3 linked regions of the Caenorhabditis elegans genome follow. The protein of the gene in region 1 interacts with the protein of each later gene in a pairwise test. Each region holds a gene or a part of one and is shown in the gene's direction. Other genes may lie near its edges. The genes, in order: aha-1, hlh-34 and hlh-33.

Region 1 (8,332 bases):
ATGCGCAAATGCCGAGATCTTGTGATCAAATGATCATATTAGGAACATTGAATTTTTGAAAATCAAAAACTGTCTAGTAGTCGGTAGGTAACTGTGTCATGTGCGCATAATGCCTCAGTACAATTAACCTATTGATGGAAACATTACAAAAAAAGTGTGAAAGAGCTTCAAGTTTCTTGCAACTTCATCGGAACATTTGAATTTTTCAGATGCATCTCAATCTTCATCATATGAATCTGTTTGCTACTGGAGCATTTTCCAATGTCTACCGTGGAGTTGCTCAAACAGAATCCAATCAGGAAATCGATATTGTGATCAAAAAGACCTGGCCGCGTCACAAAGGATGTCCAATGGAAGTGAAGATTCTTGGACAGTTGGGAAAGTTGAAGCATCGGAATATTGTTCGTTTGTTGTACAGCTATCAGAAACAACATGAAGGTGTGAGCACGCTTAGTTGATAGAATAATAAGCAAATTACAAATATTCAGGTCGTATTTGTCTTGCTCTGATTTTCGAGTACATTCCATTGAATCTTTATCAGTTTCTAAAAGACAAAAACCGCCGGATTGACATTGTAGAAGTGAAGCTTATTGTCTGGCAATTGTTTCGAGGACAAGCACATTTGGAGAAGGTGCAGTTATTTTTTTGAATATGTCTCCCATTCAATCTGGAATTTTAAGGCTGACATTTGTCACAGAGACATCAAGCCTCAAAATCTACTCTACAACGCCGAAACAGGTCTGCTGAAAATATCTGATTTTGGCTCATCGTCCATCCAATCTACAAAATCACCACAGCAAAGTTATCATGTCACGAGATACTACAGACCACCAGAATTGATTTTAGGCTCCAAGTACTATGGATGCAAAATTGGTAAGAAAATTCTGAAAAAATATTCAAATTATCTGATAATTTTGTTAGATGCTTGTTGGTGAATTCTTACTAAGCCCAAGTTTACTATTAGTTACCTTGAGCAAGTCTTGGAGTTTTTTGCTAGAATATAATTTTTCAGACACGTGGTCTTGCGGATGTGTATTTGGAGAGCTACTGAAAGGCGGAATCATCTTGGCTGGAAAATCATCGAACAATCAAGCGGAGGTCATTTTCGATATGCTCGGATACCCAACAGATTCTGATGTGTCATCAATGAAAGTGAGCAGCACGAAGTTGCAGGAAGTTTTGGATTCATATGAATATAATAAATCGAAGACAACTGCCGACTTGACTTATCTCTACACACAGACAGTCATTTATCAGAAGGATCGGAGAACTACAGTCTATAATACGGTAATTATTATACGAAGAACGAGTTCATTGAAAATTCAGACAATTTTCATCAGCGACCGGTTTTAAGTGCTACATTCGGAACCATCTTAACATTTGAAACCGATTTGATGTACCACTAGTCTGTTATTGATTGCGCGGCACAAGCTAGGTACAAGATAGGCACAGAGTAGGCACCAAACGATAAGGCGCATGTGGAATCAAATCGGTTTCAGGCAAAAAGCTTTAAGAAAACCTCCAGAGAGTTGTTTTTCAGAAAATTGAGCAAGATGACATGAAAGAGTCAGTAGCAGTTCTTCTTCAAATCCTTGTCTACAATCCGAACAAGCGTCTCTCTGGAATTGAGATTCTCACTCATCCGTACTTTAATGTGGTAAGTTTATCTGAACCTTATGATTGTCACCTAACATAATGATTTTAGTTATTCAACGAGAAAACGGTGAGATTCAATAAAAAGAAGATTTTGTGTCTTTCTGCAGTCGACTTACAATCCGTGAAATCTGGAGATACAACTTTGACGAATGAATCGGTTGAGCAGACGAGTTGAATTCGAGAAAAGAGCACTGATATTTAGATTATCAATTTTGTAATATATGAACAGTTCTGAATGGGGTCTCCAAATTGAAATATATGTCACTATATCTGTCTTTTTAGAAGCATAACTAATTTGAATATGGAGTTTCGTCCTATGGCTCCTCTGGCGAAGAGCGCCTTGGACTGCTTGGCATTGTACACCAACTTTTTGCCAGAATTTGGCAGCGACAATATTTTTTTCAACAGTTTAAAACAATACAAGAAAGGTTTGGGTCAAAGTTTGACATGAATAAAATCAAACTTATGCCAAACTCTAGTGCATTCTAAATCTACAAAAGGCCGAGTGGAAAAGTCGATCTGAAACAAACATTCTGAAAGCTTGAATTATGTGTGTTTTTTTAGAAAGAAAACTTTAACTTGATAAAAAACTACACTTTTGGAACAATTTCACAAAACTCGAAAGTTGGAAACATCCAAGGAACAGTTTTCAGGTCGATATTTTTTAGTTCAAAGTGCGAGGCATGTAGCAGAATGTTTTATAGGGGCCTATGCAAAAGGTTTTCTTTCAAATAAAAAATGATTTTAATTGAGAGTGTGAAAGTTAAAAAAATTTGATCAATCAATTGTGGTCATTCAACTTTCAAATACTGGTCACACTATAAATGCGTGCATTATTTCACTTATTTTCTTGCATTATCACTATCACATTTTTATATGCCCTATCATCCATCCATCATCTTCTAATTTTTTTCCGTTTCCTCCTTCATCATCCTTAAAAAGTCTCTCCCCTCTAATTCCATCTGTTGCTTCTTCTCTCAAATATCCAGTGACCATATGTAGGGGGGTCACTCTCAATTTCTTTTCATTTCTTTCTCTCTTCATAGTAATAATACGGTCCTCAACGGTGTTTGGTGACGAGGTACTGGACAAATAGAAAAAGCGCGCACGCCCCTCTCTCTCACACCATTCCTTTCCCATCCCCCATCATCCTAAAGAAATATTGATTGGTGAGAGTATATGAAAAATGGAGACTCAGACATACGTATCGCGTGTTTAAAGACATTGTGTCTACAATGGAGAGTATTCTCTGACGCATCTTACTCTAGATTTTCCATACTTTCTCTCTCATCGGGCAAGGAAGCGACGATTTACATAATTAATTGATTTACTCTCGATCCATTGCACAACTTGTTTTAAAATTCAATTTTTTAAATTCTTCACCTAATATATTCAATTGCCTATAATTTGTTTTGGTGTCTTTCAATTCTTCTTTTCGACAGAAAAAAACTTTTCTTTATAGTTTTCAGAATGGCTCAGGATATATTTATGGATCCATGGCAATCGGCGACGAGGTAAGGCATAGTGTGACATTATTAGCTTAAGTTATGGCTTTTTATTGCAAAAAATGTGTTGATTAAAATTGGTTTTCTATGCAATACAACTATTCAGATATGCTTATTGCTGGTTATTTTTGGATACTTCTAAACTTATATTTTAAATTTTAAATAATTTCAGCTTCGCAATGGAAGATGAAGATATGGGCATGCCATCTGGAAAATATGCTCGAATGGAAGATGAAATGGGAGAGAATAAGGAAAGATTTGCAAGGGAAAATCATTCAGAGGTGAGGTTTTGAACATTTATATCTGAAAATTTATACTGCTATGTTTCATTAATTCAAATAAAAAGTACGATACTCTGGGTATTGTTTGACCTGTAAAACTGCAATTTTCATGGGACGTAACACAACTCAAAATTAAATTTCCAGCGATTTTAAATTTTTTAAAAATTTCTACATATGGTGCTAAAATTATCGAGTCATAGAGAACTTTTTAAAAAATTATTTCAAACTGTATAATTAAAATTCAAATAGGCACAATTTTAGAGTTTCACATATCATGAATTCGGAAGCCGACCGAAAAATCTTTCTTTCTGCAAGTATTAAACTAAAAACTAAAAGTTTAAAAATTTGGCAATTTACCAACCCTTTGGTTGAAATTTCTGAAATCAAAATTCAATATGGAAAAAGTAAAATTTCTTGCTTCAAATTCAACTGAAAACGTTTTAGATTGAGCGACGTCGCCGTAACAAAATGACTCATTACATAAATGAATTAGCCGAAATGGTTCCACAATGTGCATCACTTGGACGTAAACCCGATAAACTAACGATTCTCCGAATGGCAGTATCACACATGAAAGGAATTCGAGGACATACGGCACAAGATGAAACTTCATATAAACCATCATTTCTTACGGATCAAGAATTGAAACATTTGATTCTAGAAGCAGCGAATGGATTTCTTTTTGTTGTTTGTTGTCAGACTGGAAAAGTGTTATATGTTGCTGATTCAATTACTCCCGTACTTAATTTGAAGCAGGTGAGCAAGATTTGAATCTTTCATTATTGAAATATAAATATTAATTTTTAGGAAGATTGGCTTCAAAGAAATTTGAATGAACTCATACATCCAGATGATCAAGATAAAATTAGAGATCAATTGTGTGGAAGTGAAGTATCAGTTAATAAAGTTCTCGATTTGAAATCTGGTGAGTTATCATAAAAAGAGAAGAGGAGAGATTCAAGGATTTTTTGAATTTTTTCCAAAGTAGTCATATAACTTGGAACCGTTTACAGTAATAACCACTTACTTCAGTCAATCGAATTAAGTAGTATTTGTTTTAAAAGCATCTATTGTAATTTCACTAGATTTTGGCATGCCCAAAATTTGTGATTTTCCGTCAAAAAGGTATCTGCTCGCTCTTAAAATGTGTGTATCTTTAAAAGTACAGTAACCCACTTCAAGTTAACTATCAAAATCATTGAATTTTAGGATCAGTGAAACGCGAAGGAGCATCAACACGAGTTCATATGTCATGTCGTCGTGGATTCATCTGTCGAATGCGTGTCGGAGCCCTTGAACCACTTCATCGTCTCAGAAATCGCCGTCCCTTATTCCAACATGCTGGTCAAAATTACGTTGTGATGCATTGCACAGGATATATCAAAAATGCTCCACCACAGGGAATTAATGCTCCAGCTTCATCTTGTTTGGTGGCAATTGCCAGGTTACAGGTTAGAATAGTTTACGATGCAGATAAACGTGATTTAATTAAAGGTAGCATCAATGCCGGTCTGTGCTGATCCAACATCAACAAATCAATTTTCGGTTCGTGTTTCGGAAGATGGAAAAATGACATTTATTGATGCGAGGGTTAGTGATTTAATTGGTTTGAGCAGTGATCAACTTATCGGAAGATATTGGTGGAATCTTGCACATCCAGCAGATGAGAAGACCCTTCAAGACTCATTTGTGGCTCTTTTAAGGTAAGTTTTCGTAAAAAAACCTTTTTGAACAATTTGCGTCCATCAAATTTCATATTACCTGCTTTCAAGAGTGTGTGCGGTTTTAAAGAGTACTGCAATTTCAAACTTTCTACTCTGTAGAATTTTCGTCGATTTTTCATAGTTTTTCTCACTATTTGTAAAAATACATGTTGTCTTATGTGAGTTTTTAAACAAATAAATATACCTTTATCAAAAAAACTATGAAAAACCAAAGAGAATTGAGTAGAAACATTAAAATTACCGTACTTTTTAAAGGCTCAAACCTTTTTCATTAAACAAACATTTGTCTTGTCGAGACCAGGTACCGTAGTTTTTTAATCGTAATTTTCGCGGTTCTAGGGAATATTTTCAGGCGAATTTTTCACGAATAATATTCGTGGCGGGACCATTTCGAAAAATGTACTTTCCTTTAAACCTATAGCAGTAGATTCCATGTTAACTAAATAAAAACATTTCCATTTCAGTGACCAACCAATGAGAATAAATATTCGAGTACGTACCAGTACTGATTACATTCCATGTACTGTGTCTGCATACAAATTCATGAATCCATACTCGGAACAGTTCGAATACGTGGTTGCAACACATCAAATTGCTCCACAAGAAGATATTAATAATTGGGTCACTGCACCAACTGTTCCTCAACCTCAAGCCAGTGAATTTGGAGAGCTCGGCGGTGCTCCAAGTGCTGTGGATTACGGACAATCGAGTAGTGGAGGATGGAGACCTGAAGCTCAAGGAGCACCACAGGCACAATGGCAATGGGACCCGATGAATGGATATAACCAGTGATTATAATTTCTAGAAATTGATATATTTTTTTTTGAAGCCTATTCCAATGATTCTCATTTCTATCTACTTCTTGAAAAGTTTTCTTTTTTTTTCAATTTCCTTAACTTTTCTGTTCAGTATTTTTCCTTTTTTCTGGACCAACGAGTTATTCAACTCATTCTGAACACTAAATTTTATTACTAATAATATTGTCAAAAAATCAAAAGAAAACAACGAATAAATGAAAACAACTATAAAATAACGGATTATTGCTTATTTTGGTGGATTTTGAAGAATATATTCCGTCGCCGACGTTGCCGTTGACTTGTGCTTTGAGAACTGTTTCGCTGGAAGTTGTTCCGTGTTCATTTCTGTTGGAAGCCATGTTATCGGTGTCCATTGACCTTGAATAGAAGGAACCAATGCACTTTGACGACTCTCTAGCTTCACAACTGGTTCGCCGCTTCTTGAGAATAACAAATGCACATCTTTGCTCACTTCGTCTTGTGTCATGTTTTTTGCATTGATCTGTAGAGTCCGACCATTTCCATATTCTGCGCGGATTGATGGGTTCGAGTTTCGCACAGGCTGGGCATAGATCACAACTGATGGGTTTTTACGGCCTGAAAAAAACGGATTTCCTTCTTTATTTAAAAAAAAATGAAGCTTTTAATTTAGATTCTCTATTAATTTTTTGATCGTAGACAGAAATTCTTACCGATTTCAACGAGTTGATTCTCAATAAAATTGCGAACTCCGACACTGGATTCACTTTGTTTGCAAAACCTGACAGTGATGCGATGAAGTTGGTTGGTGTAACGCGAGATTCCATTATAAGCCGGAATTTTCAGAAAATCAGAAAATCGCCATCCAAAGTTCAGAGCTTTTGCGGCTGTGTAAATGGGTTTGAGGCGATCAACACGTGGAACCGATGGCATCTAAAAATGAGAGTTTGATAAAATAAACTTTAAGTATAATATTGAAATAGAATATAAGAAATCGTACTGTTAAATTGGCAAAATGAAGAAAGGCAACGGCGCTCTAATGAAAAGAATACGAGCGTCTTGTTCAAAAGCGACGACAGCTGATGCGAAAACAGGTTTCGCGAGGTTATTTACACAAACAAATTTCATTAAAATAGAAAAAACGTGACTAATCATCACATATCAAGAGATTTTGTTGAAAATATCGAGCCAAAAAATTAATAAATTCCATTTGAAGCTCCGAGAATTCTAGGCCACGGCCGTGTCGTACACGAGGACAAAATTTTTTTCCTGTGATTTCTTCTTGTTATTGCACTTTGCCCCCTATTTAGCCACACTCTAGCCAACATTTTTTTGTTTTCAGATGGCAATTGCAACGACAAAAACTGCATTAACAACAATGTAAGTATTTATTAATATTTGATGCTTGCTGTTCAAATAAAACTACGGTTTTCAGAATGAATTGGATGACATTCACGGATGACTCGAAGGAACAACTAAAAATTGTCGAGGGACGTCTGTTTCAGTCTTGCGAAGTATCATACGAAGCCAAATATGTCCCGGTGAGTGAGAAATATTTGTTTCTCTGGTCTGGAGTGTCTTTTTCAGGTCAGATTCAAAAGAGGCGAAGTGTACACGGTGACAGTGAGGCCCAGAGAAGCTGAAAACCTAAACGGCGAAGCAATAGTTTTCATTCCTGGATTGGGCGCTGGTGTTGCAATGTTCACGGCAAATTTCAACAGCTGCGCCAAAAATCATGCTGTGCATTCATTTGATCCACTAGGTTTCGGAAGATCATCGCGATCGAGGTTCAGTGACGACAATGCCATCGCCGAGTTGGAAATGGTTGAAGTGATGGAAGACTGGCGAAAAGCCATGGGAATTGAGAAAATGTACATTATAGGACACGCATTTGGAGGATATTTGGCGAGTGCTTATGCTCTCGAGAATCCATCAAGAGTTGCTCATCTGATTCTAGTAGATCCATGGGGATTCGCTGAAAAAGTTGAAACAACTGAGAAACTGGTAAGAATGTATTGTTTAAGAGCTTCTGATGCTAATAATCAGAATACATGGCTTCAGATTAAACCTTATGCTTGGATGTCCTTCCTTGGAGGAGTTGCCGGATACTTCAATCCATTCTCGCCGATGCGATGGATGGGGCCATATGGTTAGCTGTTCAATCTTAATTATTTAACTTAAAAGATTTTTTTTCAGCGCCGGCAATTGTCAAAAAGTTGCGTCCAGATCTTTTACTCCGATTCCCCGGACTTCATGACTATGATATTTACAAATATGTGTATTATCTGAATCTTCCCAATCCAACTGGAGAAACTGCTTTCATGAATATGACATTGCCAGTCGGTTGGGCAAAAAGACCAATGATCAAAAGGTTTCGGCTGATGAGTACT
Region 2 (6,497 bases), on another chromosome or scaffold:
GAGCAGTTCAAAAACTCACTGTATCATCTACAAACGCATCATGTGGAGTTATTTCTCGAATTGTTGCAAATCTCATAGGTTCATCCATACTCGCAGCAACAGGAGATATCCTCATCCGGCTTGTTGTCGATGATCCAAGTGAAGATGAGCAACTTTCTCTTGGAACACACGGAGCAGTAACATCATTTCGAGCTCTCACAAAGCCAGGGGCACAATGACAACCGGCACTGCATGTACCCGAGCATACTGGAACTGATGGTTGTCCACAATACTCTGGGCATAAAGTTCCACAAGAAGACCAGACTGCATGTTTATCCGGGCATACACATCGCTGAGGATTCACTCCCAGGGAGACGATCATTGGTCGACAGCATCTTTGTTCCATTGGACAATCCATATCAGTATTACATCCACGACCGCCGACATCAAAAGTTGTAGCAGGGCATTCGGATTGTGATACAGTTGGCTTGAGTGCAAGAAGATCAGAATCGGATGAAAATGGACGACCACGTGTTTCATGTACTTCAGCTATTACGGTGGTGGCTGGAGGGACTGATGCTTCTGAAAAATCATTAAGTTTCACTTTGATTTGCAGTACTAACATCAAAGTTTTTTATAAACTGGCTCTGTGAGTTTACCTGTAGTAGTGGTTGTTGTAGATTCTTCTGTAGTTGTTTCTTCCTCGGGAGGACATTCTTCTATTTTAATGCATTTAGAAGTGTGCCACGTGGCAGAGTTTTCAAATACCAAGCCATTCTTACAGAAACAACCAGTCTGGCATGGAGCACAATTTTTTGGATGACGATTATCACATCCCATTGGGCATGAACTACCACATGTCATGAATTCCTTTGTCGGATCCTCACATCCTCTGTCACATTCTGCAGGAAGAACACATCTTGATGTTGGATCATTTGGATGAAGGAGCACGTATGGCTGACGACAAACACATCCTGAAAAACATTGTCCGGAGCCACATCGACCCAGAGGGTTCGCACATGATCTTGAGCAATGCAGAGCTCCGCATTGACTCCATTCTTTTCTTGGATCCGGGCAAGATTGGGATGCTGGAACGCTTGCAGTTGATGGTGGAATTGATTTTCTAGAACATAATTGAGGGAGAATGCATGTGGAGTTTGGATCCTTCGAATCGGCAAGAACATACGGAAGTCGACAGAAACATCCAGGTTCACAAGAAAGAGCACAGTCAATTGACGCTGCTTGTGAAAGAGGTCGATCACAAGATGCAGGGCACTTGCTTCCACAGCTTTGATAGTTTTTCAATGGATGTTCACAGTGTTGCTCGGGAATAAGAGTGGGAAGTTTTTGTTGTGAAGTTGTTAATCCACGAGTGGTAGTAGTGAATACGGGAGATGGTGTAGCTCTTGGGGAGGTTGGATATTGAATATTCGTATTTCCAAAACTTCCAATCATTCCAGGATTACGCTGCACAAATTGCTCAACTATTTCTGGCGCTGGTGTTGGGATTTCGGGGCACGAAGATGGAAGAATGCATCTGAAAATAGACCAATTTTAAAGTTTCTGTTACGGTTTAATCGAGTTTTGTCCATTCGGTTCAAAATCTTGTTAAAGTTTTCCCAATGTGAATATTTTTCTTGTAAAAGTAATATAAAAATGGAGAATTTTTTTTAAATCAGCAGCCACTTCCGAGTTTAAGCTTAACCTACCTTGAATGAAGAGGATCGTCTGCATTTTCAAGGATAAACGGAATTTTACAGAAGCATCCAGTCACACATCTCTCATTACATCTCGGTTGATTTCTTGTAGCACAACTAATTGGGCATGCACTTCCACATGTCTGATATTGCCTTTTCTCGTCTGCACAACGAATCGTCAGATCATAAGCTTGACACAAGCCTCGCGGAACACATGCTGAACGGGGAGAGCTGTCACGTCGGATGTATCCTAGCAATGATGAAGAGTTAATATATAGTTAACTATCGAAAGTTACCTGGTAGGCAAATGCATCCAGGTTGGCATCCGGGAGCCGGGCAAGCTGGTGTTGAAGGATCTTGACATGATGGTTGACAAGAGGAGAAACATGCTGAATATTGCTCATTCGCGCCACATACCATGGCAATCGTTGGGTTTACTGAAAAAATGTAAAATGTTATAAGAAGCTAGTTTAGGCAGACAACAGACTTTCATTAGAAATAGGTTCGTTCATTATTTTTGTTAATGCTGGTAAGCAAGCGTGATAGTTAGAGTTAGTTATGGAACCGGGGCAACATTTAGATCCCCGTTCACATTCAGAATCACAGAAGCAACGGGTTAGTGTGGTTATAGAAGTGTTCAACGGGAGGGGGCATTCTCCAGGTGATGTACTCTTGCATGTCTGTAAATATGTCTTGAATTTTTGAAATTAGAGAACTGATTGATACCTCTTCCCTTTCTTTTTGTTCTCTTAATAATGCAGCAGCTTTCAATGCAAGATTTTCTTGTTTTCTTCTCACAGTTTCACATCCCTTTTCGTCTTTGCTTTCTTTTCCGGATAATCTTCTTCCATACCTTGTCACGCACCAACAAACTTCTGTTCCAGCCAAGCATTGTCTGAAATTGGGTTTATTGTAGTCTGATAGTGAGATGTCTGTGATGCTACAAATATTTTTGAGAATATTGGGTATCTTCAGCTAAATTTGAAACTTTGTAACTAATACTGTTCTCACTATGTTCCTATTCAATATCTGAATTCCCTTTTACCTTCTTCTCCATGCCAATCCACTTTCCTCACATAGTGGTATCGCTTGTCCAACAATTTCCAACGATCTAAGCTCATCGAGAAGCTCTCGTCTCCTCATTGCACATGCTACAAAAATTTGAAATAGACAAAGAGGGGAGAATTCAATTGTATGTCATATTGTGTAATTAGTTTGGCTCTCGAATGGCATGATCTGCATGCTAATTATATATTATGAGAGCTTGTACATATTGGGTCATTCATTTATTTTTTATATGTATTTTATTTGTCGCTTGACTTATAACCACTTGAGAAATGGAGACTAATCTTTCTGAAGAAAAACGTAAGCAATTTTAGAAAATATGTTTTGAAAGAAACAAATCAATATTTTAGAAAAACCGTCAAAATCACAAGCCCAGCAGAGAAGACAAATGGAAAATTATGAATTCTCACAGCTAGCCAATGAACTTCCATTGGCAAGAGCAATTTCTGGACAGCATATTGATAAAACAACGATGGTTAGATTAGCAACTGCTTATATCAAACTTCACAATATATTTGGGCAATCTCAAAGAGCCTACAGTTCAGCTGACTATTATTATGGAAGTGACTCTTTATGGACTAACAATCATTTAGATGTAAGGATGGTTTTTTACCGTTTTTTTTTTAATTTCAATTTCAGCTACTAGATGGATTCTTTGTGATACTGGACAGGCGCGGAGATGTACTTTACATAAGTGAAACTATTAGTATTTACTTGGGCTTGTCACAAGTTGAAATGACTGGCAACGCGATGGTTGATTATATTCATGAACAGGATATCAATTGCTTTAACTCGGTAACTTTTAAGTTTTTGATTTAACATAATTAAATTCAGGAAAAATATTTTATTATAGTTACAAGTTTTGAACTTTCACAAAAACATCCTGAAATCAAGTATGGAAAGAAGTTTAAGCTTACAGCTGTAGCCTAATTAAGTTGCAATAATTTTTAAAACATTTTTTAAAAATATATATTATTTTTAATATATATTTTTAATTTTTTTTCTGTTTTTTAAAAGCAACTCCTAACTGGAATCATTTTGGAGTCATTTTCGCACAATCTCAGAGAATTTTTTGACTAAATGTAGTAATTTCTCTTTACAGGCCCTTAACTATTGTGACCTTAATTGGCCTCAAATGTGCAACGTACGTGTTAAATCTAGTCTCACAAAGCGAGCAAACAAGGATGCAGTTCGTGCTTCACCTGGATACAAGGTTCTTCGTCTAGAAATTACAATGGGTCCAAATACAAATACTAGAATGATTGCATGTTATCCAATGCCTACTCCAGTTCTTTCTACAGTAACCATTCCTTCTAATTCATTTGTTATCATTACATCCATCGATCTTCATATAACATTTGCTGATGAAAAAGCTCATCAGTTGCTTAATAACCCATTTTACCCAGATTCAAATATCAAAGGAATGTCATTATATTCACTGATTGATATCTCAGATTCTGAAGTTATATCAAAAATGCATTTCGATATTTTCAACCTGGGCGCTTATAAAACCCCGTACTATCGAATGATCTTGAATCAAACAAGTGAAACTTTTTACGTCGAGTCAAATATTTTTCGTCATACTTCGATTTCCTCTAAACAGTTTAATGACTCGATCACATTTGTTTCCTCAATTCTATGACCTCCAACTTTATTTTATTTCTTTTTTTATTACGCTAATTTCAAAGAAGATAAACACTTTGGTTTCAAATTTAAAAAATAAACGCACTTTTACAACATTTTCCCTCGATGCAAAGTTCTTCTTGATGAGTACAATCCTCATCTCTTGAGCACCTTTTTGACCATCTAGATTCATCTGGACATGGCTCATCAGCTGGGGGATCCGATGTGATATTTAATGGTCTTTTTGGTTTAGGACTAGTTGCTGAGAAATAGTGCAGTGTGTTAGATTATGTTAGTAAAAGTATTGATAGTTAATTGTAGGCAAAAAATAAAACAAGATAGAAACTCACGTTCTCGTTGAAGAGAAAATGTTGGCAAAACGTTGGGACAGCAAAATCCATTATCACAGATTTCGCCAATAAAACAGTCATCCTGCATACGGCATCGATAGTATGAATATCTACTGTCTGCACAATGTCGACATGATCCTTCGGCTTCACATAATCCTAAAAAAAATAAGCAGTTAAAACTATCGATTATGTGGTAGGCAGGCACATCTGCAGGTATCATACCTGCGTAACTTTCGTAGTTTTTTGTGAAGTTCGGTTTTTTTTTTTTGATTTTCTTATTTTAGCATTAGTGTGGGTCTTTTTTCTCAGTTTTCGAAACTTTAAACCACAACTGAAATTTTTTGAAAGACATTTTCAAGAGGTCTCATTATGAAATTCAGTTTTGGTATAGTTTTGAGTCTATTAGAAAAATACAACAATTTCTGTAGCCCAGTAAATTTTACGAAACACTCCTGGTGCAGGCATACGTTGCCTTGGAGTCAAAATACACTTACTCAACTGTCCATGAACTTCCTTCCAACTTGACGAAAATATAACAATTAATAGGAGAATACGAAGCATTCCCTAGTATTTTAAAACTTTTTTAGGCTCCTGCTCAAGAGGTCTCACTTTCTTTATTGGCTGACCTACAAATGAAAGTGTGTCATACCCCTTGAAAAAGAAGGAGAACGATAGAAAGAGCAATTATGAAATGAAAAGGTAAAGAGTGAGGGGGGACCCTCCTGTTCTGATTGTCGCCCGTATATCCTATTAAGGCAGATGAGAGGCGGTTATTTTGGCGGAGAACGCAGGTCAGCAGCTATAAATCAAGGGGTTGTTCACGGGAATCGACTCGACAAATTAGTGTTCAAAGCATTTGGGGCCAGGTGTAGAGGTTTGAGTGCCTTTTGACAGACGGTTGGCCGTAGTGGTCCGCGAAATTAATCCAAACGAGAAGAATGATGATGTTGATGAAATAGATGACAGGAAATTGAACTGAATTAGCCATTAAAGTCGATATTTAGGTTGAACTTTTATGGAATTGGATGTAGCTTGGTCAAAAAACACCTTAATACAATTAAAAATTTTACAATTAGTTAGAACTATAGTTTTGAGCAATCTGCTATAAGTTTTACAAGAAAGTGCCCTTTTTGATCGATTTTAGTACATTTTGGCAAAATCCCTACTATCTCTACTTTACCCTCAAATACATATTATCAGAATTGATCAAGTTCTACAAGAAAAAAGAGTTGATCTAACTATTCTGAATCCAACACAAAAAATTAACTAGCATGCTGAAAAACTGCAAAAATGACCACAAAAAATGTAAATCAGCAAAAAACAACTTATTTTCAAGACCAACCACCATGATGGACAAATTGGAAACATTTTCATTGTCAATCACATGTCTCTTCTGCCCATTTTCTCCATTTTCTCTACAATTTCCCGCCCATAACAGTCCCGACCTTGTCGTTGTTGGGCGTTTGTCCAGAGCGTGTCGCATGTCTCATTTTTCCTTCCACCCTGTTTCTCTAAGCTTCATAATCCGACCTTGAGGGGGTCAACTGAAGGCACCTATTACCATCCGCTTCCGTGCTACTAATACAACTACTGCCATTAACACAACAATTGGTGGTACCCTTGCCGGAAATGGACAAGGGGGTATACATTCGAGTAGAAACAGTTTTTTTTCGTTTATTTTAAAATGCCACCGCTCTTTGAAGGACAAATGTTTAAAATTCGTAAAAAAATAAATTCAAAGTGCTTCTAAAATTTTTTTGCATAATTGTCAGGTTCCAACCAC
Region 3 (9,384 bases), on another chromosome or scaffold:
TGCTCCGACTCCCTGTGCATCAAATTCAGCAGGCTCACCACCTCCAACAACAGCAGCGGCAACAGATGCAACAGCCGATGCCGAGCCGGCGACGGTCTGCGGCTCACCAAGTTCGCCAGAGAATTCAGGCTCAGAATGTGAGAATTTTCTTTTAATTTTGAGGGATGAAGCTCGCCGAGAGAGCTTTCAGAAAAATTAAATTTTTTGTAAAAAATTCAAAAAAAAAATGTTTTTTCCAAATTTTTTCTGAAAATTTTATTTCCAGACTGTCCGGCTCCAACAACAGGAGCAATTGGCTCAGCAGCATCACCAGCACCAGCAGCAGCATGCTCAATCGGAGCTCCAACAAGTTCAGCAAGTGCTCATCGAGCAACAGCAGCTTAACCAGGTTCGGAACTTGAAAATTTTCAGATTTTTAGAGTTTTTAGCTGTAAAAGTCGGTGTTTAGCTCGCTGAGAGCTTTAAAATGAGCCCCATATCGACTAAGTTTGGAGAACATTCAGGATTTTGGGTCTCACCACGAAAATTCCTTGGATTACTGTAGCTAAATGAAATTTCCTGAAAGTTCCACTAAGAAATTCGAATTTCCCGTCATTTTTCACACCCGGATCCTGTTTTCTAGAGCTTTACCACAAATATTAAAGAAATTGTGCATTTTTTCGTAAGATCCTCCGTGTTTGCGTATTTTCGGGGCTACAGTACCCCGAAAATTGAAATTTTGAGCTAGCAGCACGGGAAACCAGGATTTCGGAGTGAAAAGTGACGGAGAATCCGAATTTGATAGTGAAAATTTCTGAAAATCAATAAAAATCCTGAAAAATTGAATTTCTTCAAAATATCAATGATTTTTCTCGTAATTTTTCGAAAATTTCATTGTCAAATTTGAATTTCCCGCCATTTTTCACCCCGGGAACCTATTTTCTAGAGTTTTACCTTAAAATTTAAAGTAACTGTGCATTTTGTCGTAAGAAATTTGGTGCTTGCGTATTTTCGGGCCTACAGTACCCCGAAAAATTTAAATTTTAGCTCAGAACCCCGGAAAAAAAGTATTCAGTGGTAACAAGTGACGGAGAATCCGAATTTAACAATGAAAATCTTCAAAAATCAATAAAAATCCCGGAAAAAATCAATTTCTTAAAAATATTGATTTTTCTGTGATTTTTTTGAAAATATTGCTGTCAAATTTGAATTTCCCGTCATTTTTTACCCCGGGATTCTATTTTCTAGGGCTTTAACTCGGAATGTAAAGAAACTGTGCATTTTGTCGTAAGAAATTCGGTGTTTGCGTATTTTTGGTGCTACCGTACCCCAAAGAATTCAAAATTTTAGCTAGAAACCCAGAAAACCACGATTTAGAGGTAAAAAGTTACGGAGAATCCGAATTTAGCAGTAAAAATCTCCAAAAATCAATAATTTCCCCGAAAATTTACAATTTTTTTCCAGAATTCCCGCAAACGCAAGCAATCTCCACAAGCTCACTGGAGCGACGTTGATAATGTGGAGAATCTGGAGAATCAGGCGACCGCCGCACAACAAATTCCGGCAAAAAAACCGCGCTGGAATTCGGTGGAGCAAGAGCCCGAGCCCGAGGCTCCGCTGGAAGCCGTCGAGCAGCAGCAACAGAAGCAGCCGACAACTGACGGGCAGCACCTGCCGGATATTGTCAAAAATATTGGAGGATTCGAGATTCGTGTCATTCGAAGTCACGACCCGTCGCGCAGAATCTACACTTATTGATTTTTCCCGCCGCCGAAAAATCGAAAAAATCGATAATTTATTAATTTCTCTTGAAAAATCTCCCAAAAATCAATAATTTTACGACATTTTTCATCGATTTTCCCCCTGCGATTGTAATATTTCCCAATTTTTTACATTGTATTAAAAAATGCCAAAAAAACAATATTTTATTGATTTTTTTTTTCAACGATTTTTCAAAGTTTTTCCCGAAAAAAAAAACGAATGTATTAATAATTGTACAAAAATGTTTCCATTCCCCCCCCCCCCCCTGAGCCATTTTTATCAACGTTTTACCCAATTTTTCCACAATTTTCCACTTTTTCCTGAAAATTATCGATTTTTGTGTCATTTTTGTGATCTCTCGCGATTTCTATACAATACATATCTCGACCCCACGACTTTTTTTGTAATAAATTATTATTAATTCGCAAAAATTTGAATTTCCTTGGGTCTCACCACGATTATGGAGAATTTTAAGTTGCAAATTCGAATTCTCCGTAACTTTTTACCTCTAAATCGTGGTTTTCTGGGTTTCTAGCTAAAATTTTGAGTTCTTTGGGGTACGGTAGCACCAAAAATACGCAAACACCGAATTTCTTACGACAAAATGCACAGTTTCTTTACATTCCGAGTTAAAGCCCTAGAAAATGGGACCCCGAGCTAAAAAATGACGGGAAATTCAAATTTGACAGCAATATTTTCAAAAAAATCACAGAAAAATCAATATTTTTAAGAAATTGATTTTTTCCGGGATTTTTATTGATTTTTGAAGATTTTCATTGTTAAATTCGGATTCTCCGTCACTTTTTACCACTGAATACTTTTTTTCCGGGGTTCTGAGCTAAAATTTAAATTTTTCGGGGTACTGTAGGCCCGAAAATACGCAAGCACCAAATTTCTTACGACAAAATGCACAGTTACTCTAAATTTTAAGGTAAAACTCTAGAAAATAGGTTCCCCGGGTGAAAAATGGCGGGAAATTCAAATTTGACAATGAAATTTTCGAAAAATTACGAGAAAAATCGATATTTCGAAGAAATTCAATTTTTTCGGGGGCCCGATTTTTGGAGCCTGAACATTGAAATTTGGAAAGTTGTGCATTACCCCGAGAAAATCAAATTTTGAGCTAGAAGATCGGGAAAAATGGTTTAAGAGGTAAAAAATGCAGGAAAATTCGAATTTCTTGGAAATTTTACTTGAAATTTGATAATTGTGGGCGAAATAGAACGTTTTGAAGCTTTTTGTGTAGTTTTTTTTCGGTTTTCATTCAAAACTGTAAATTTTCGATCAATAATATGAATTCTACGTCTCTTTTCACTCCGGAAACCCAATTTCCAAAGCTCAGCTACCAAATCCTGAGAAGCTGTGCATTTTGTCGTAGGAGCTGCGGCGGTGTTTGCGTACTTTTGGCGCTACCGTACTCAGAGAAAATCAAAAGTTGAGCTAGAGACTCGGCAAAAAATGTGAATAGTGGGAAATTATGCGAGGATTTCGTTTTTGAAGTTGGTTTTCCAAAAAAAAAATTGATTTTTCGGAAAAAAATTTTCCAAAAAAAAAATTTTTTTTTTACAAAATATTGTTTTCCCCGCCGGGGTAACCAGAAATGAAAGCCGTAGAGGGAGAAAAATGAAGAAAGTGACCTTGAAAGTCCCTTTCTGCCATACAAAAAACGCTCCCCTAACCAGCTGCCCCCACACACACAACTTATTCCGAGGCACACGAGAGAGTACACACAATCAAAGAGACGCAGAAATGCGGCAATTTCGAGTGTTGGGGGCGATGAAGACGGCGGAGACCATTCATTTTTGCCATCTGATCACTTTTCCGATTTTTTCTAAATTTTTTTTTTTGACAAAAGTTTTATACAACTCGGTAAATAATTTTTGTACGTAGGCTTACTTTGAGGTCTTATAACTTTGGACTCAAATGAACTGTCAAATTTTAAAGTAAATTGCCTGAAAGATAAAGTTTTAACGCAAATTTTGGTAAAATTTCACCAAAATTCATTTGGTAGTTTTTGAGAAATTTAGGTTTTAATTGAGAAAATAAAAATGTTGAAAATTTTTTTTTTTAATTTTTAAATTTTTTTTTTTTGCATTTTCCAAAAGTTTAAATCAAAAATTTGATATTTTCTGAAAGAAAAATAAAAATATATTTAACGCTAATTCTGACAAAATGTCAAGCAATTTGCACAATTATTCTTTGAGATACTACAGTTTTACCGAAGAAATTTCATTTTTCAGTAAATTTTTCAAAAATTTAAAATTTAAATGGGTTTTCTGAAACTTTAGGGCAATAACACATTTTTTACAATAAAATTTTTTTAAAAAAACAATGAAAAGTACATATTTGTCAAGTTAGAAAATTTGAATTTTCACCAAAATTTTTTTTTAAACTTTTTTGAAATTTTTTTTTAATCCTTGAAAAAAATTTAAAAAGTTCAAAAAAATGTCTTTTCATCAGAAAATTTAATTTTTATTACAATTTGGTTATGTATATACTTTTATTAATATAAATTTATTGATATCCTCAACAGATATATGCTTTCAAAGGTTGAACTGGACATGGTGCATCGATCAAAAACTTGGACAGCTTATATCTCAGTTGTCATTGTTTTTATCAAAAAATCGATAACTAATAAAATGTTCATTATGAACTTCTCTATAACTTTGTAGTTGAGCACTTTTCCATATCTCCAAAATTAACAGAGATACTAGCCGTCAAAGTTAGAGTTAGACATGTTGCATCGACCTTTCCTAACTTTGACAGCCCATAACTCGGTTAATATTGAGCCAAAGGTTGTAAACTGACAAAATGTTCATCATGTTTTTCTCTATAACTTTGTTGTTTAACATTTCTCCCTACCTTTAATATTAACCGAGATATAAGCTTTTAAAATTTAATAGTACATTTTTCAGAATGTCCGACTCCCCGCAGAGCTGCAAAAAGCCGCGAACTCGGAAAGAAACTATTCAAAAGCGAGAAACACGAAGTAAGCATGAAAAACGACGAAGGGAAGAGATGAATGAAGTGATTTGTGAAATGTCGACACTTTTGCCCGAAGATATTCGGGCTCATAAGCTGCGAAGAGTGGATCAGAAGCCTCGTCAGCTGGACAAATGCTTTATCATTGGGAGTACTGTTGATATTATTCGGAATAGTGATTATAGTGAGTCTACAGATTCAAATTAGTAATAATATTCTAATTTGGAATTTTTTTTTAATTTTGAAAAAATTTGGAAAAAAATTTGAAAAAAAATTTCGAAAATTTTTTCTTTTTTTTTTGCAAATTTTTTTCCTAAATTTTCGATTTTCAAAGCTTTTTTCTTTGTTTTTTACTCTAAAACTCGGTAAAACAACTCTATTTCCTCCCGAGAAAAATATAAATTCAACCTATTACAGTAACCCTGATCCGTTTCGTGGCGGGACCCAAAATTTCAAATTACCTTCAAACCAAGGCATGTTGGGTGTCATTTTAAAGCAATCATTGAGCTAAACTCAAATTTGAAAGCCATTAAGCTGAAAATCTCGAAATTTTCGGAATTTTCAGTCAATTTCAATTTCCTCCATTTTCCAGAACCACCGCTGCTCTCCGACCCGCTCGTCCAGGATATTTTCAGCCTGACCAACTGTTTTATGGTTTTTCTGAACAATTTTATTGTCGTGGATATTAAGGGAGACCATCAGGCAGTTTTTGATATTGAAAAAGTTTGTTTTATTGATTTTTTTTCGATTTAAAAAAAAATTCAAAAAGCCATTAAATGGGCAGAGTTACAGGCCTCTGAAAATAATTGTTAGGCTTAGGTGTAGGCTTAGGCGTAGGCTTAGGCTTAGGCTTCAAACATTTTTTTGGGATTAGGCTTAGGCTCAGGCTTAGGCTTAGGCTTAGGCTTAAGCGTAGGCTTAGGCTTAGGTTTAGGATTAGGCCTAGGCTTAGGCTTGGGCTTAGGCATAGGCTTATTAGAAAAAATGGGAAAAAAAATTCTCAAAACATTTTTTTTGGAATTTAATTTTGTAAAATTTTCCAAATTTTGTCCCAGACGGGCGTGACAATCAAATGCACACTTTTTTAGTTGACAACTTTTTGCTAACCCTTAAATGGTAGCAACCTTTAAGCTTCAGTAACTCCGCCCATTTATTGGCTATCAAAAAATTTTCAACCGACAAAAGCTTCACCATGAAAAAAAATCTGCAAATTTTTTCAGTTGACAATTTTTTTCTAGCTTTTCTAGATTTGAAGATATTTGAGTTTATTTTTTTGAAAAAAAAAAATCCCAAAATTTTTTTTGTGGGATTTCATCTTTTTATAATTTTTAATTTTCCAAATTTTTTCCCATACAGGCGTCCCCAATTAAATGTTCCTTGTAAACAAAATGTCGTCATATTTTCGGGGAAATATTATCAAGGTCACTTTTTCCCAAAAAAAATTCGATTTTTTCGGACTGTGTGTCAGCTGACTTGTTTCAAGGTGAACTGGTGGTGGACCGGGGGTGGGGGGGGGGGGATTTGGTGAATCATTGGGATTTTTTCGGTTGGAAAATGTTTTATAACATTTTAGATAGTATAAAAATTTAGAAAGTTTTCGAAAAAAGTTTCAAAAAAAATTTTTTTTTTTGGACTTTTTCTGAAAAATTTTTTTTTTTTTGTTAAACTAAATTTTTTTAAAGTTAGAAATTCTAGAAATAAGTTGTAAACTAACAATTTTTGTCAAAATTTTTGCAAAAGATTTGAATTTTTCGCTAGTTGATAACTTTTTAGTAACCATTAAATGGGCGTAGCTGCTGCCTTCCGTAACTCCGCCCATTTCATGGTTATCAAAAAGTTTTCAACTAACAAAATGTTCATTTTGAAATTCTACACACTTTTTTAGTTAACAACTTTTTAATAGCTGTTTTAGTTTTTGAGATATTTAAAAAAGAAAAAAAAATTTTTTAATGAAATTTTTTTTTTCAGAAACGTATGATTGGAAAAGATATCCGATGTTTTCTGGACTACGATTCAACGTCCAAACTGTCATTTCTCACTTCCAAAGAAATGCTCAATGAGCTCCAACTCAAAAGCTTCATGGCGAAGTCAATGACGTGCAGAATAAAGGAATCGGCGGAGGTTTGGGATTAAAATGTTTTTTTCAATTCGAACAATTCGAAAAATTTAGCTTTAAAACTAATTTATTTGAATTTGGCGTGTAAATAGCTTTTGAATGACACCCATCATGCCTAGGTTCCCGCAATTTTGGGGGAATTTTCCGGGTCCCGCCACGAAAACTGGCAGGGTTACTGTAGTTTTGAATGAAACTAACTTTTTCAATTTTTTTCAAAAAAGTGTGATCACTGAGCTAACTTTGAAGAAAAAAATTAAGAAAAAATAGTGAAAACTAAGAAAGTTACAGATTTTCGAAAATTTGTGAAAAAAAATTTTTTTAAACAAAATTTTTTACCAAAAAAAACTTATTTTGTCAATTTTTTTTTAGCTGAGAATCACAATTTTACTCTCAGCAACCCAGAAAACCTGCAAAACCTGGTAAAACCAGTAAAAACAACCAAACTACAGTAACCCAGAAAGTTTTCGCGGCGGGACCCGAAATTTTAATCATTCACGGAATATAGGCATGATGGGCCTTATTTTGAAGCTCTGGACGTGCTTAATTTGAAAATGTACGAGTTTTGGCTCAAAATCGTGATTTTAACCAAAAAAATTAGTTGTTAAAAAATTGAAAAAATTTTTTTTTCCAAAATTTCAAAAATTCCTAGAAATTTTTAAAAATCAAAATTTTTCCAGAAACCCACGGAAACAGTTTTAGTCTGTGTGCCTGATGAGCTTCCAGCTCTCCCGGTTACTGTACCCAAGGCTCCGCCCATTTTAGCTTCGCCCCTTCAGAAGACACCGCCCCCGCCGTCGAGTTTGGAGGTGAAAAGCCCGATTTTGGCGGCACTTTTGAGGCGAAAAGAGGATAATTGTGTGAAAGTGGTAAGTTATTAATAAGAATTAATAGTTTGGCGGGAAATTTCAAACTTTTTGAGAAAAAAAAAATTGAAATTTTTTTTTTCGGAACTTTTTTTTCTAAAAAATTATTTAACACTATTTGTTGAATTCCAGAGCTCCCCAAGCTCCTTCCTCTCGCCGGGCTCCTCCACCTCGTCTACAGTACCCAATGTGAAACCTACAGTAACCCGCCGACCTACAGTACCCACAAAACGGAAGAGACTACGATCGATGAATGTTATAGTGGAAAGTTATCCGTTGGATGATGAGAAGTCGGATGGAAATTCACAAAAATCGGCGAAAATTGGGAAAAAGAGGTTTTTTCTAACAAAAAAAAACGTTAAAACCTACAGTAATCTACTCCAAAATCCATGCGAGACCCTTAAAACTGAAAATTTCAAATTTAGCTCAACAAGACCTTTCAAATGACCCCCATCATGCCCGGGTTCAAATTTTCACAAATTTATTCAAAAGTTGGGTCCCGTCACGTGGGGTACTGTAGCACTGGTTTCAGCTGTGTCAGTGACATAATTTCGGAGTTTTTCCGAAGCTCTAAGCGTGCGAAAGTTAAAAATGTTAATAAAATTCTTAACATGTAAGATTTTATTGATTTTTTCAAAAAAAAAAAATTTTCTAATTTTTCTGAAAAAACTTGCAAAACTATGTAAATTTTCAGCCAAACTAGCACTATTCCAACTCCGAGAAGCACTTTGAGCCCAACTACAGTAATCCATCCGTCCACGTCACTAATTCAACCGATTCCGACACTTGGAATGAACCCATTTGACATGTTATCACCTGGTTATCAAGATGTATGTGAAAATTATCGATTTTTAATGGTAAAATCAATAAATCATCGCTAAAAACTAGTTTTTATCAATAGAGCGCACTTGCAACACGGTTTTAATTCAAATTATCGACTTTTCAACTACAGCTACTATCAATTTTCCAGATTTGGCTCCGACTACAAAGTGAGCGACTTCTGCTGGAAAAACGAATTTCAGCGAAAGAAGGGGAGCTGAAAAACCTGATGCAATTCGTTCAAAACCCCCCGTTTTTGAATTTCCCCCAATATATGCTCCCGCAAGGGCCACTTGGTGCTCAAAATCAATAGTTATGGGTTTAAATGAATAAAATAAATATTTATTTACAAAATTTGATTATTATCGACGGGAATTTGTTTAAAATACTGCAAAATATACTGGGAAATTTCCGGAAAAATCATTTCGAAGTTAATTATCATTTGAAAAACCGCCGAAAACTGTGAATGCGCAAGGAGAGGTTGCTGGCGCATTTCTCTTGTTGCTTGCGCACTCTGCGATGAAATTAATTTATTTTATTTTTTCATCATTTTCGTTGGGTTTTCATCATTTTTCAGCGATTTTTTTGCAATTTTTTTCAAAATTCCCATCAAATCTATAGTTTTTCTCACAGGAAATGGACTCGGCCGACCCTCAACTCAATCGATTCCTCCAGCAACTGCAGGCGGAGACGCAGCGTCAAAAATTCACCGAACAAGTGCACACGCTCACCGGTCGCTGCTGGGATGTGTGCTTCGCCGACTACCGTCCGCCAAGCAAGATGGACGGCAAGACTCAGACCTGTATTCAGGTAAAAATTTGGGAAAATTTGGCAATTTTCTGCAATTTTATGGGAAAATTGAAG

What was found.
Region 2: the proteins of aha-1 (region 1) and hlh-34 interact in a two-hybrid assay, tested with the Caenorhabditis elegans proteins (one study listed by BioGRID).
Region 3: the proteins of aha-1 (region 1) and hlh-33 interact in a two-hybrid assay, tested with the Caenorhabditis elegans proteins (2 studies listed by BioGRID).

Annotation. Positions count from the first base shown.
Region 1 is NC_003279.8:10,191,785-10,200,116, reverse strand, and holds aha-1 (Aryl hydrocarbon receptor nuclear translocator homolog), read left to right. Parts: upstream 1-3,119; 5' UTR 3,120-3,126; coding exon 3,127-3,170; intron 3,171-3,333; coding exon 3,334-3,442; intron 3,443-3,886; coding exon 3,887-4,198; intron 4,199-4,249; coding exon 4,250-4,367; intron 4,368-4,651; coding exon 4,652-4,893; intron 4,894-4,936; coding exon 4,937-5,145; intron 5,146-5,630; coding exon 5,631-5,958; 3' UTR 5,959-6,192; downstream 6,193-8,332. Other genes in the region: Y106G6E.1 (Protein kinase domain-containing protein), read left to right, coding at 210-438, 489-631, 681-873, 1,013-1,287, 1,541-1,657, 1,706-1,831; C25A1.15 (Transposase), read right to left, coding at 2,521-2,796; mrpl-34 (Large ribosomal subunit protein mL43), read right to left, coding at 6,211-6,560, 6,656-6,875; lid-1 (AB hydrolase-1 domain-containing protein), read left to right, coding at 7,285-7,322, 7,378-7,483, 7,530-7,946, 7,989-8,091, 8,139-8,313. UniProt on the Caenorhabditis elegans protein: Transcription factor. Efficient DNA binding requires dimerization with another bHLH protein, such as cky-1 or ahr-1. Regulates transcription of target genes, probably acting in complex with cky-1. Has a role in cellular differentiation.
Region 2 is NC_003283.11:13,703,872-13,710,368, reverse strand, and holds hlh-34 (Helix-loop-helix 34), read left to right. Parts: upstream 1-2,973; 5' UTR 2,974-3,013; coding exon 3,014-3,041; intron 3,042-3,091; coding exon 3,092-3,336; intron 3,337-3,380; coding exon 3,381-3,536; intron 3,537-3,843; coding exon 3,844-4,383; 3' UTR 4,384-4,402; downstream 4,403-6,497. Other genes in the region: T01D3.3 (Thyroglobulin type-1 domain-containing protein), read right to left, coding at 20-561, 639-1,516, 1,689-1,926, 1,973-2,113, 2,164-2,356, 2,403-2,571, 2,722-2,827, 4,471-4,626 and 2 more. UniProt on the Caenorhabditis elegans protein: Transcription factor. Involved in specifying AVH neuron identity, acting in concert with unc-42. Involved in serotonin-mediated feeding behavior, probably acting by modulating expression of genes involved in glutamate signaling.
Region 3 is NC_003281.10:1,850,737-1,860,120, forward strand, and holds hlh-33 (BHLH domain-containing protein), read left to right. Parts: upstream 1-4,655; 5' UTR 4,656-4,656; coding exon 4,657-4,906; intron 4,907-5,314; coding exon 5,315-5,445; intron 5,446-6,690; coding exon 6,691-6,843; intron 6,844-7,515; coding exon 7,516-7,704; intron 7,705-7,833; coding exon 7,834-8,036; intron 8,037-8,395; coding exon 8,396-8,531; intron 8,532-8,671; coding exon 8,672-8,833; 3' UTR 8,834-8,867; downstream 8,868-9,384. Other genes in the region: pqn-82 (Prion-like-(Q/N-rich)-domain-bearing protein), read left to right, coding at 1-137, 266-388, 1,444-1,737; ddp-1 (Mitochondrial import inner membrane translocase subunit Tim8), read left to right, coding at 9,157-9,330.